2 linked regions of the Saccharomyces cerevisiae S288C genome follow. The protein of the gene in region 1 binds, or shares a complex with, the protein of each later gene. Each region holds a gene or a part of one and is shown in the gene's direction. Other genes may lie near its edges.

Region 1 (5,871 bases):
CAGGCTTGATGAAATCCATTATCACATTTAATTTCAACTTGTCCTTTAAATGGTAGTATAAGTTAGGAAAGTCCTGATAGAACTTCCCCTCAGTAACCGTGTAAGAATTCTTGTTGTCCTTATTGTCATCGAAACGACTATTCAACCAGGTAACGTTTTTCGTCAAATTGATGAAAATAGACCGGGATAGAGTTTCCTGCTCTTCGTTGTTACAACATTTCCTTATTGCTAGATACAATGAGTTGTTCGCATACTGACTGAAAAATCCGGCTTCGTCTAGTTCGCTATAGTGATATAAACATCTCTTGTATATTGGAAGACGAAAATCGTTCGGTATCCCAAACCAATATAAGTTATGCTTACTTATCACCAACAGCAGGTCCGTCTCATCGCCAGATGTATGACAACTTCTCAAATTGCTCCAAAACTTTTCCAATTTTAGTTCTCTTCGAAATAAGTTTCTATTTTGAAACTTTAAATTTAAGATGTTCCTCTTTGTTTCCGATTTAATGAGGTTTTGTATGGATGGATCAGTATGAGTGCACAAGGTTTCATCGTTATTATTGGCAATTAATGATAACGATTCTTTTTCACTATTGATTTTCCTTTTATTTTCCTGAATCAAAGAATCTACACTCAAATTTTTTTGTGGTCTAATGACTAATGAAGATGATCCTGATGAGTTCCTGTTGTTGTTTGGAGTAAACAAACCATCAGAAAACACAGAAGACGCAGAAGAAGATGAAGAAGAGTACATCGTTGATCTGTGATTCGGCGAAGGGGCCACAGGACTCCCCTGAGAGTTTGCTCGAGGAATGGCAAAGTTGTCTATTATGGGGACAGCATAACTAATGAGATTAGTATCTTTATCTATTGTTGTGTCCAGAATTGTTGTCCAATCTGTGGTCCCGGAATGTAGGGCCTCTTCTTTCAAATCGTTTCTTGTTATTCTATGCCTGCTATGGAATAGCCGCTGACTGGGTGGTACGTACTCGTGCATGATATTATTAACCATGAGTTGTAGCTGTTTTGTTATATCCAAAGAATTTGGCTAACGTATCCTTGTACGCGTGATTTATTTATATATACGTGCAGCACAATATATATATATATATATATGTATGCGTGCGCTTGGTTATGGCTCAGTAAAGCGAAAGTAACGGAATAAGCGAGGGAAGGGGGATCTAGCGATGAGGGAATGGCAGTAACAGACTGTTCCCTTACAATACACTCTTGCTAAATTACATCAAGGATAATATACTATTTTAAAACAAAAACCAGCCATTTCCCTAAGGACGCGAAACTTTTGTGACGCGTTTCAAATAAAAAAGAATACTGCAAAACGCAGCACAATAATTAGATAAAACTAGTGGCATATGTCACTAATTAACTATATAGTCACTAATACTGTATATATAGCCGACACAGGCTACACAAAACACAAACGCAAAGGAATTAGGAATGTAGGTAGGTACACCGAGGCTAACTGACACTTCTGGGTCATGGACAAGCTTGTTTTTAGCACATCGTAAGGAATGTAACCACGCTTGAAAATAACAACGATACATATCAAGGTAGTTAGAGAGGCATTCCAGCCATAGATACGCAACCACTTTTTCAATCTGCTATTTGTATTAACTTGTAATTCGCTTGAATTCCAGAATTTATTGACGAAATAGACGAAAAGGGGTAGTTGCAGAACTAGCTCAAGGACTACAAACCAGTATAGCCATTCTGGTTTCTCTGATAGCAGGAAATCGTGTTGCTTTGCGATGTGATCACTAACAACCTTTTGCGCAATCCCTAGTTGCCATTTAGCGGGAATAACCACTGATGAGTCGATGAATATGGTGATGGGAATGTGAACGATGAAGTACCACAAGTAGAATTGTTGCTCACGATGTCCTAGCTTCATTATCTCCGGTCGCTTTTCTCTATATGTTTTCACGTGAGTGGCTCGTTTCTCGTACTTATTTGCTGCGGTTGTTCCTTTTATACCTACTAATTCGTATCCTGTACAAAAGCCGATAATTCTTTACTATGTTTTCAAAGGTTTTTTTTTTTTAAACGATATGCAAATTATTAATTCTTTTGAATATTTCTATGTAATCTAAACCACTTTACAATATACTATATGGAATACGTGGCGAAGAAAATTCCATTATCTCACCTCCGCTTCTTTCTCATCTCTTTCATTTTCTTGTAATGTGCCTTCCTACCGCTCGTAGATTTCTCCTGAATTTCGTTGTATTTACGCTTGAAATACTTATTAGAAGCTTCATCACCCATGAGTGTTTCCAAAATAGTCGACTTTCTTTCCTTCCTGTTCATACGACTACTATAAAACTCACTCTTGTCTTCAATTATGGTACCAATAGCAAACCTCTCTGGCACCTCCCAACGTTGCTTCTTATAATGTCTCTTTGGATCAAGAGCAGCTCTATGTTTAATCAGCAATAAATCTCGTTGAACTTCACGACGCATGTTATCATCTGGCTTTGGTAAGGTAAACCAGTCATTATCGTTTTTGTCGCTCTTGTTGGGTTTTCTTTTATCTTCTGTCTCCACACTAGGCAAGACGTTCTTCTTCTTCTTCTTGTTTGCTAAAGCATCAAATCCGGTTTCTAACTTAGGAAGCTTCTTAAGATTAGTTTCGATCTCTTGAAATTTACTTTCAATTTCTACTTCATCATCATTATTGCCTATCTGCAAAACATCCTCTTGTTGAAGAGAAACTTGTTCCTTCGCTGAATTTTTTACTTCTAGACTGGCACTAGCATCTCTTAGTGCTCCAAATAAGTCTTCCACACTTTGATCCATGTTTAACAGCTCCTTTCTCACGTCCTCTTTAATTGGAAAACTTGACGTCTCATCGCATTTTCTATTTCTTTTCTATCTTCTGTTTTAATATGCTGAAAAATTTTTAGGCCGGCACTAACCACGAATTATGATAAAAGAGAAGGATGTTTAGAGAAAAGGTTTTCGTGTGAAAGGGGGAATTGCGTTGTTAACTGACATAGCTGTCTTCAATGGAATCATAACAATGAAGTTCGAAGACCTCTTGGCAACCAATAAACAGGTGCAGTTTGCTCATGCAGCTACTCAACATTACAAAAGTGTCAAAACTCCAGATTTCTTGGAGAAAGACCCACATCACAAAAAATTTCATAACGCAGATGGCTTGAATCAACAAGGTTCTTCGACCCCATCTACAGCTACCGATGCAAATGCCGCCTCAACTGCTTCCACTCACACAAACACCACGACATTCAAAAGACACATTGTTGCCGTGGATGACATATCGAAAATGAACTATGAAATGATAAAGAATTCTCCAGGGAATGTAATAACGAACGCTAACCAAGATGAGATAGATATAAGCACCCTCAAGACAAGGTTGTACAAGGACAATCTTTACGCTATGAATGACAACTTTTTACAAGCTGTCAATGACCAAATTGTAACATTAAATGCAGCGGAGCAGGACCAAGAAACTGAGGACCCTGACTTATCAGATGATGAAAAAATTGATATACTGACCAAAATCCAAGAGAACTTGCTTGAAGAGTACCAAAAACTTTCACAGAAAGAAAGAAAGTGGTTTATATTGAAAGAACTACTGTTGGATGCAAATGTAGAACTCGATTTGTTCAGTAATCGTGGCAGGAAGGCAAGCCATCCAATCGCATTCGGAGCAGTAGCCATACCAACGAACGTCAATGCGAATTCACTAGCATTTAACAGAACCAAGAGAAGAAAAATTAATAAGAACGGCCTTTTGGAAAACATTCTTTAAGCCAAGATTAACATAAGACAAGTTTGCAAAATCCCCAACTTCACTTCCATATGCATATTCATTTAGGTATATATCGTATATTTGAGAAAAATTCATATATGAAACGTTATTAAAACATGAAAAATAGAATGTGTTATCGGGCTTAACTATATTCTGCCATTCAATGCGTGTTTCTTGACCATCTCTCGCACTACCTCTGACGGTACATAGAATGGGTTATGCTTCTTTGTCTTTTTCGTGTGCTCATATTGTCTTTGGTTCTCGAACTCAACCTCCTGGGTTAAATTTATATTAAAGAACAAGAAATCCTCTATGCTATCATTATTATCTTGAGATTCCATCTCAAATAGTTCAGAAAATCCGGTGTTCCCGAGGTCATCGTATTGCAATTTTTGTTTGTCTACCTCATTACTCAAATTGCTATTGGAGGTGCTTTTGATAGCATCACTACATTTATTATGAAGCATATCCATTAACTCCGTCCTGAGTTGTTCCGACGTGTGTCAACAAAAGGATTTACTAAGAATGTTGTATTTTGAGTTTTAAAAGGACGTGCATATGCACATACATATATATATACATATATGCGTATTTATCATCACTCCGTGCTGTTTAGAAGCTGCACATATTATGCATCTATCGCGATAGTATTGTGAGTTGGAGATAAAGATTTAATCATTTGTGCAACAACCGCTTTCTACTGTAGGCATAGAATTTCGCGCATCCCACCCCTTATTAACAATCACATTTTTTTTTTTTAATATTAATGACTCCGGTGGTCGTGATTGTAATCTTGATAACAATCGCGATCATGATCACGTTCTTTAGCCTCATTATCGAACAGTACTGGAGGTGAATAGGCACACCGTTTATCTAAAAGTTCCATGATCGTGGATTGGTCCCTCAAGATGGAATCATACGTATCTACACCACCGTATCTACTAGTGGTAAATCTCAAAATATCCCCAGTGTTGCCACGGTTCAAAACATCAATGTGGTCCAGTAATAGCTCATACGGATTCGTTCGTGGACGAGGCAGTGCTCCTCTATGAATATTGAACCGATGTTTAATTTTCCACATCTGAGATTCTAATTCAGAATAGTTTCGACGTCTTGCGTCCAATTCTGATTGCGTCCTTGGTTTAACTTCGTAATATAATTGTCTATGTAAGTCTTGGTATTCTTTGGCGAACATAAAGTGATTTGACCTTAATTGCAACTCCAAGCTGCTTGTAGTATATGGTCTTTTCATATCATTTGATTTATCCTTACTCGACCTTTTAATAGAAAACCTCCTGATGAAGTGTGGCACAGCAACCACTCCAAATTTTTCTAGAGGCTTTGTGGGCTTTGTTGAGCTTCTTTTGTCAATTCCAAGGCAAGAAAAGTCGTCTTCATCGGCCAAATATTCATCTTCAAATGTATGTATCGTATCATCAGGCAAGTGTTTATCATCGTAGCCTGTATCTGCTTTAGTTGGAGATTTTACTCGTTTTTGACCACCAGATGTATTTGCGTCGCAATTGCTAATGTATTCTGCACCTAAATACAACTTTTCTAAGTCCGCTGGTAAAGCTGGATCATTGACACCCAGTGGACTTGTCATCGTGAATCGTTGTGTTAAACTAATGAAAGAACCTTCCTTTACATTTTTGTCCACTCTGTTTTTGCCTTTATCTTGATCCTCGTTATCACCATCGGTAAAATCTTGGCCGCTATTAATTCCTGAAGCAACGTTAATACCACCACCAATCCTGCTGTCCAACATCGACAAGGCATGCTCACACCTTCCACCATTTATTGATAGCCCACTTAGTGTCAGTAACCTCGTATAGAATCCATATAGGAAATTTAAATTTGAACACGAAACACCATACTTTTTGGCCAAAATGATGGGCTGATGCAAAAGAATTTGAGCAGGATATTCAAATCGGTGGTAGAAACAATAAGGCTCAAACGGTAAGGATAAATATTCCGGATGTTCGTTTGCCGTAGAGTTGATAAGTTGCAGTTTTTTACCTTTGCAATATTCTACGATTTTCCCAAAATTAATCTCTTCTTCACCTTGTGATTTT
Region 2 (4,099 bases), on another chromosome or scaffold:
GGAATTAATGTACGAACACGATGATGACGACAGTGACAAACTTAAAAATTCCCAGAAAAGAGCTACCGACTCAGCTATTGAAGAATTAAACGGTATGGTTGAAGAAATGATGATTAATGAGCCAGACGATGTAAAAATCTCCATAACTGAGGCAGAGACTTTCGAATCATTGACAAAGTTTGATCAATATAAGCCATCCAATATAACTGACGATGACTTACAAAGCAGCCATTCAAGCGCCGTTCACTCATTGAAGCTAAGTACAAATACAAATGATTCTTGCGCTGATAGTTCCAAATACACCGCTGATAGGAAATTAGCGGAACCTAGAAAGATTTCTGAGGAATCCAAAGTCAACGACGATTCATCATCATATTATTCTCCAAATATCAACAACTTGCCGGCATCAAGAATGCCTAGTCAACCCACTTATTCAAATTCGGATTCGAAAAAGGCATTTACGAATGAGTCTCGCCTGAACGTCTTACAAGGTGCAGTCAGTCCATCTCAACAGGTAACACCAAAACCATATAAAAATGCGCCTGGAGACTGTGTATCTCCTGTTCAGCAAAAATACTATCAGAACGATCGTAGAAATGAAATGTCGCCTGCAAGTGCACCAGTTCCACCTTCTGCATATTCACCTGCGAGGTCTCCACAATTCTCCACCAATTCGGCTGGATTCAAGCAGAACACGATTAATGTACCCGTTGGGTATAATGATCCTGCTCACGTTTTAGCAAATCAACCACATATGACATATCGGGACCAGCATAATTATCCATCTCACCAACAAAAACAACGTCCCTTCCAAAACAATATTGTGCCCCCAGAACTAAAGTCCAGAAATCAACGGGCAGATGCTTCACCTATTCCCCAACATATGGTGCCAGTAAAACAAGGTGTGCCCAATCTTCCATCTAACGTTCCATTATATCAACAAATGGAACGAATGAACCCTAACCACCAGCACCCTGTAAATACTTACAAGGTAACTCAGCCGCCGTATCATAATAACACAACAAATGCTTATGGGAACAGCCGGGCAGGCAATGCTCATATGTTAGATGGAAAGTGGAGCAATAATCCGCCGCAAATGGTACCAAAGGGAGTTCGCCCCAATCAATATCCACAGCAGCACGTTAATAGGTATTCACCGCAAGCTCAACCTGTCGTACCTGCGGAATACTACAATGGACCTCCACCTATGCGAGCACCTCCAATGATGTCCCATATGGTACCAGCTCAGGAGCCGATACGTTACACAGCTGGTGCTAACAGGCGTAGTTTTCCCCAAGGCATGCAGCAGAATGCCTATTCCGTACCCGCTCAGCCTATGGGGGCTGTAAATAGTGAATTTTACCTACCAGAAGCTCCTCAGGGAAACAAACTGCATGGAAATATTAACAAAAGACAGGAGAGAAAGAAGCTATATGATAACATTAGAAGCGGAAATTTCGGCATATAGAAACACTTTGTATCTGAAATTATCATCTTTATGAAATCTCAACAGTTGTAAAATTTCCCGAATATTTATACATATATATGTGTATGTAATTACAAGTATTTAGGACAATAAGGAGAGATTTAAGTCTACTACATAATTTTTAACTCCTACAAATGGCAGGTTACGTTGAGTAAGAATATAACATTTTATTTTCCATATTCAACATCATATGCATTTTATCATCTCATCCTCTTAGTCACTAATTTTTCTAACGCTCATAACAAAAGGTGCGTTACGCCGTCTAGAGCTTTTCTTGAACGTTAAAACTTTACCAAGCAGTTGACGGGTAATCATTCTCATAATCCAAGTAATTTTAAAGATATCAACAAAATGTACTATAATGCCAACACATTCTTTACTTATATTGGCCGGAAGATAAATCCAATTTCTCGAGTAATTGTGGTATGTCCCAAGAAAGTAGTGTTTTATCAGAATCGCAAGAACAACTAGCCAATAACCCTAAAATAGAGGATACAAGCCCTCCCTCTGCCAATTCGAGAGATAATAGCAAACCTGTACTTCCGTGGGATTACAAGAATAAAGCCATAGAGATCAAGAGCTTCAGTGGTTATAAGGTAAATTTCACCGGCTGGATAAGAAGAGACGTAAGAGAAGAACGTCAAAGGGGAAGCGAGTTTACTGCATCTGACGTTAAAGGATCAGATGACAAAGCTACAAGGAAAAAAGAACCAGCAGATGAGGATCCTGAAGTAAAACAACTTGAAAAAGAAGGAGAGGATGGACTGGACTCATAAGGTAATGTCAACAGCTTAAAGTTGTTCTCAGGGCCCCACACTTTCTAGTTTGGCACGTCATTTATGAAATTCACAAATTGGTTACATTAAGTACTAAATCTGGTAGCCGACCAAAAAAGAACAACAAATATACAATTGTATGAGTAAATATGCAATATAAATCAAATGTATTTAGTTAAAGGGCCAGAAGTAAGGCTACAGACTGTAAAAGAAAATTAGATGGAAACCCTCTTCAGGAAAAAAGGACATTATAAAAGATACAGCCAAGAAGTGGGCGTTTATAAAACAATTATATAACATGACCGTCGATTATATTCTGACAGGAATGGCGACGATTGCATCGTTATATTTCATTTCATTCCCAACTCAACGATACTGGTATCAAAAAGCCTCTCTGTTCATTATTTGTCCCACTACAAGCGACTCTCTTATTTTTGGCGGTCTCTGCCAGCTTAAGAAAAAGCGGTTACCAAACGACACTAAAAGAAGCGGCGCGTCTGGTTCATTAGAAATTTGTCAGTAATGCTGTCAATCTTTGTGTAAAAAGTCTTTCCATCAGTTGCCACCCCTTTTGTAGCAACTTCCATGCGTAGAACAACCTCACATTCATTATTTTTTTTACCCTTCTCTTTTAATTGTTCAATTGCGAACAGACCATCCAAAGATTCGAAAGAAAGACTGAGGTGCTCCGCATAAAATCTTTATAAACTTTAGAAGTAAATGGTTTCGTTCAGAGGGCTGACTACACTAACACTACTTTTTACCAAATTAGTAAACTGTAATCCTGTTTCCACAAAAAATAGGGACTCTATACAGTTTATTTATAAAGAAAAGGATAGTATATACTCTGCCATCAACAATCAAGCCATCAATGAAAAAATTCATGGAGTCAATTTGGGTGGGTGGCTAGTATTGGAGCCGTATATTACACCTTCTTTATTCGAGACTTTCCGTACTAATCCGTACAACGATGACGGTATTCCTGTTGATGAATACCATTTTTGTGAAAAATTAGGCTATGAAAAGGCAAAGGAACGCCTTTATAGTCATTGGTCGACGTTCTATAAAGAGGAAGACTTCGCGAAAATTGCTTCTCAAGGCTTCAATTTGGTTAGAATTCCTATTGGGTATTGGGCCTTTACAACGTTGAGTCATGATCCCTATGTTACCGCCGAGCAGGAATATTTTCTAGACCGGGCTATCGATTGGGCTAGGAAATATGGTTTGAAAGTATGGATTGATCTTCATGGAGCCGCTGGTTCACAAAACGGATTTGATAACTCAGGGTTGAGGGATTCATATAAGTTTCTGGAAGATGAAAATTTAAGCGCCACCATGAAAGCTTTAACGTATATTTTAAGCAAATACTCAACAGACGTATACCTGGACACCGTTATTGGAATCGAATTGCTCAATGAACCGTTAGGTCCAGTTATTGACATGGAAAGATTGAAAAATTTGCTTTTGAAGCCGGCTTATGACTATTTGAGAAATAAAATTAATAGCAACCAGATCATTGTAATACATGATGCTTTTCAACCTTACCATTATTGGGATGGGTTTTTGAATGATGAAAAGAACGAATATGGCGTCATAATTGACCATCATCATTATCAGGTGTTCTCGCAGGTGGAATTAACAAGAAAAATGAATGAACGTATCAAAATCGCCTGCCAATGGGGGAAAGATGCCGTAAGCGAGAAGCATTGGTCCGTAGCAGGCGAATTTTCAGCGGCCTTAACAGATTGTACAAAGTGGTTAAATGGGGTTGGTCTAGGTGCCAGATATGATGGAAGTTGGACCAAAGACAATGAAAAATCTCATTACATAAATACGT

The links.
Region 2: IES3 (region 1) and IES4 share a complex: the UniProt entries of both Saccharomyces cerevisiae proteins name them as parts of the chromatin-remodeling INO80 complex.

The regions. Positions count from the first base shown.
Region 1 is NC_001144.5:244,158-250,028, forward strand, and holds IES3 (Ies3p), read left to right. Parts: upstream 1-3,043; coding exon 3,044-3,796; downstream 3,797-5,871. Other genes in the region: MLO50 (Mlo50p), read right to left, coding at 1-1,015; EMA19 (Ema19p), read right to left, coding at 1,430-1,915; FCF2 (Fcf2p), read right to left, coding at 2,167-2,820; NRS1 (Nrs1p), read right to left, coding at 3,943-4,269; OSW2 (Osw2p), read right to left, coding at 4,560-5,871. UniProt on the Saccharomyces cerevisiae protein: Probably involved in transcription regulation via its interaction with the INO80 complex, a chromatin-remodeling complex.
Region 2 is NC_001147.6:687,713-691,811, forward strand, and holds IES4 (Ies4p), read left to right. Parts: upstream 1-1,911; coding exon 1,912-2,262; downstream 2,263-4,099. Other genes in the region: MSB1 (Msb1p), read left to right, coding at 1-1,468; SPR1 (glucan 1,3-beta-glucosidase), read left to right, coding at 2,983-4,099.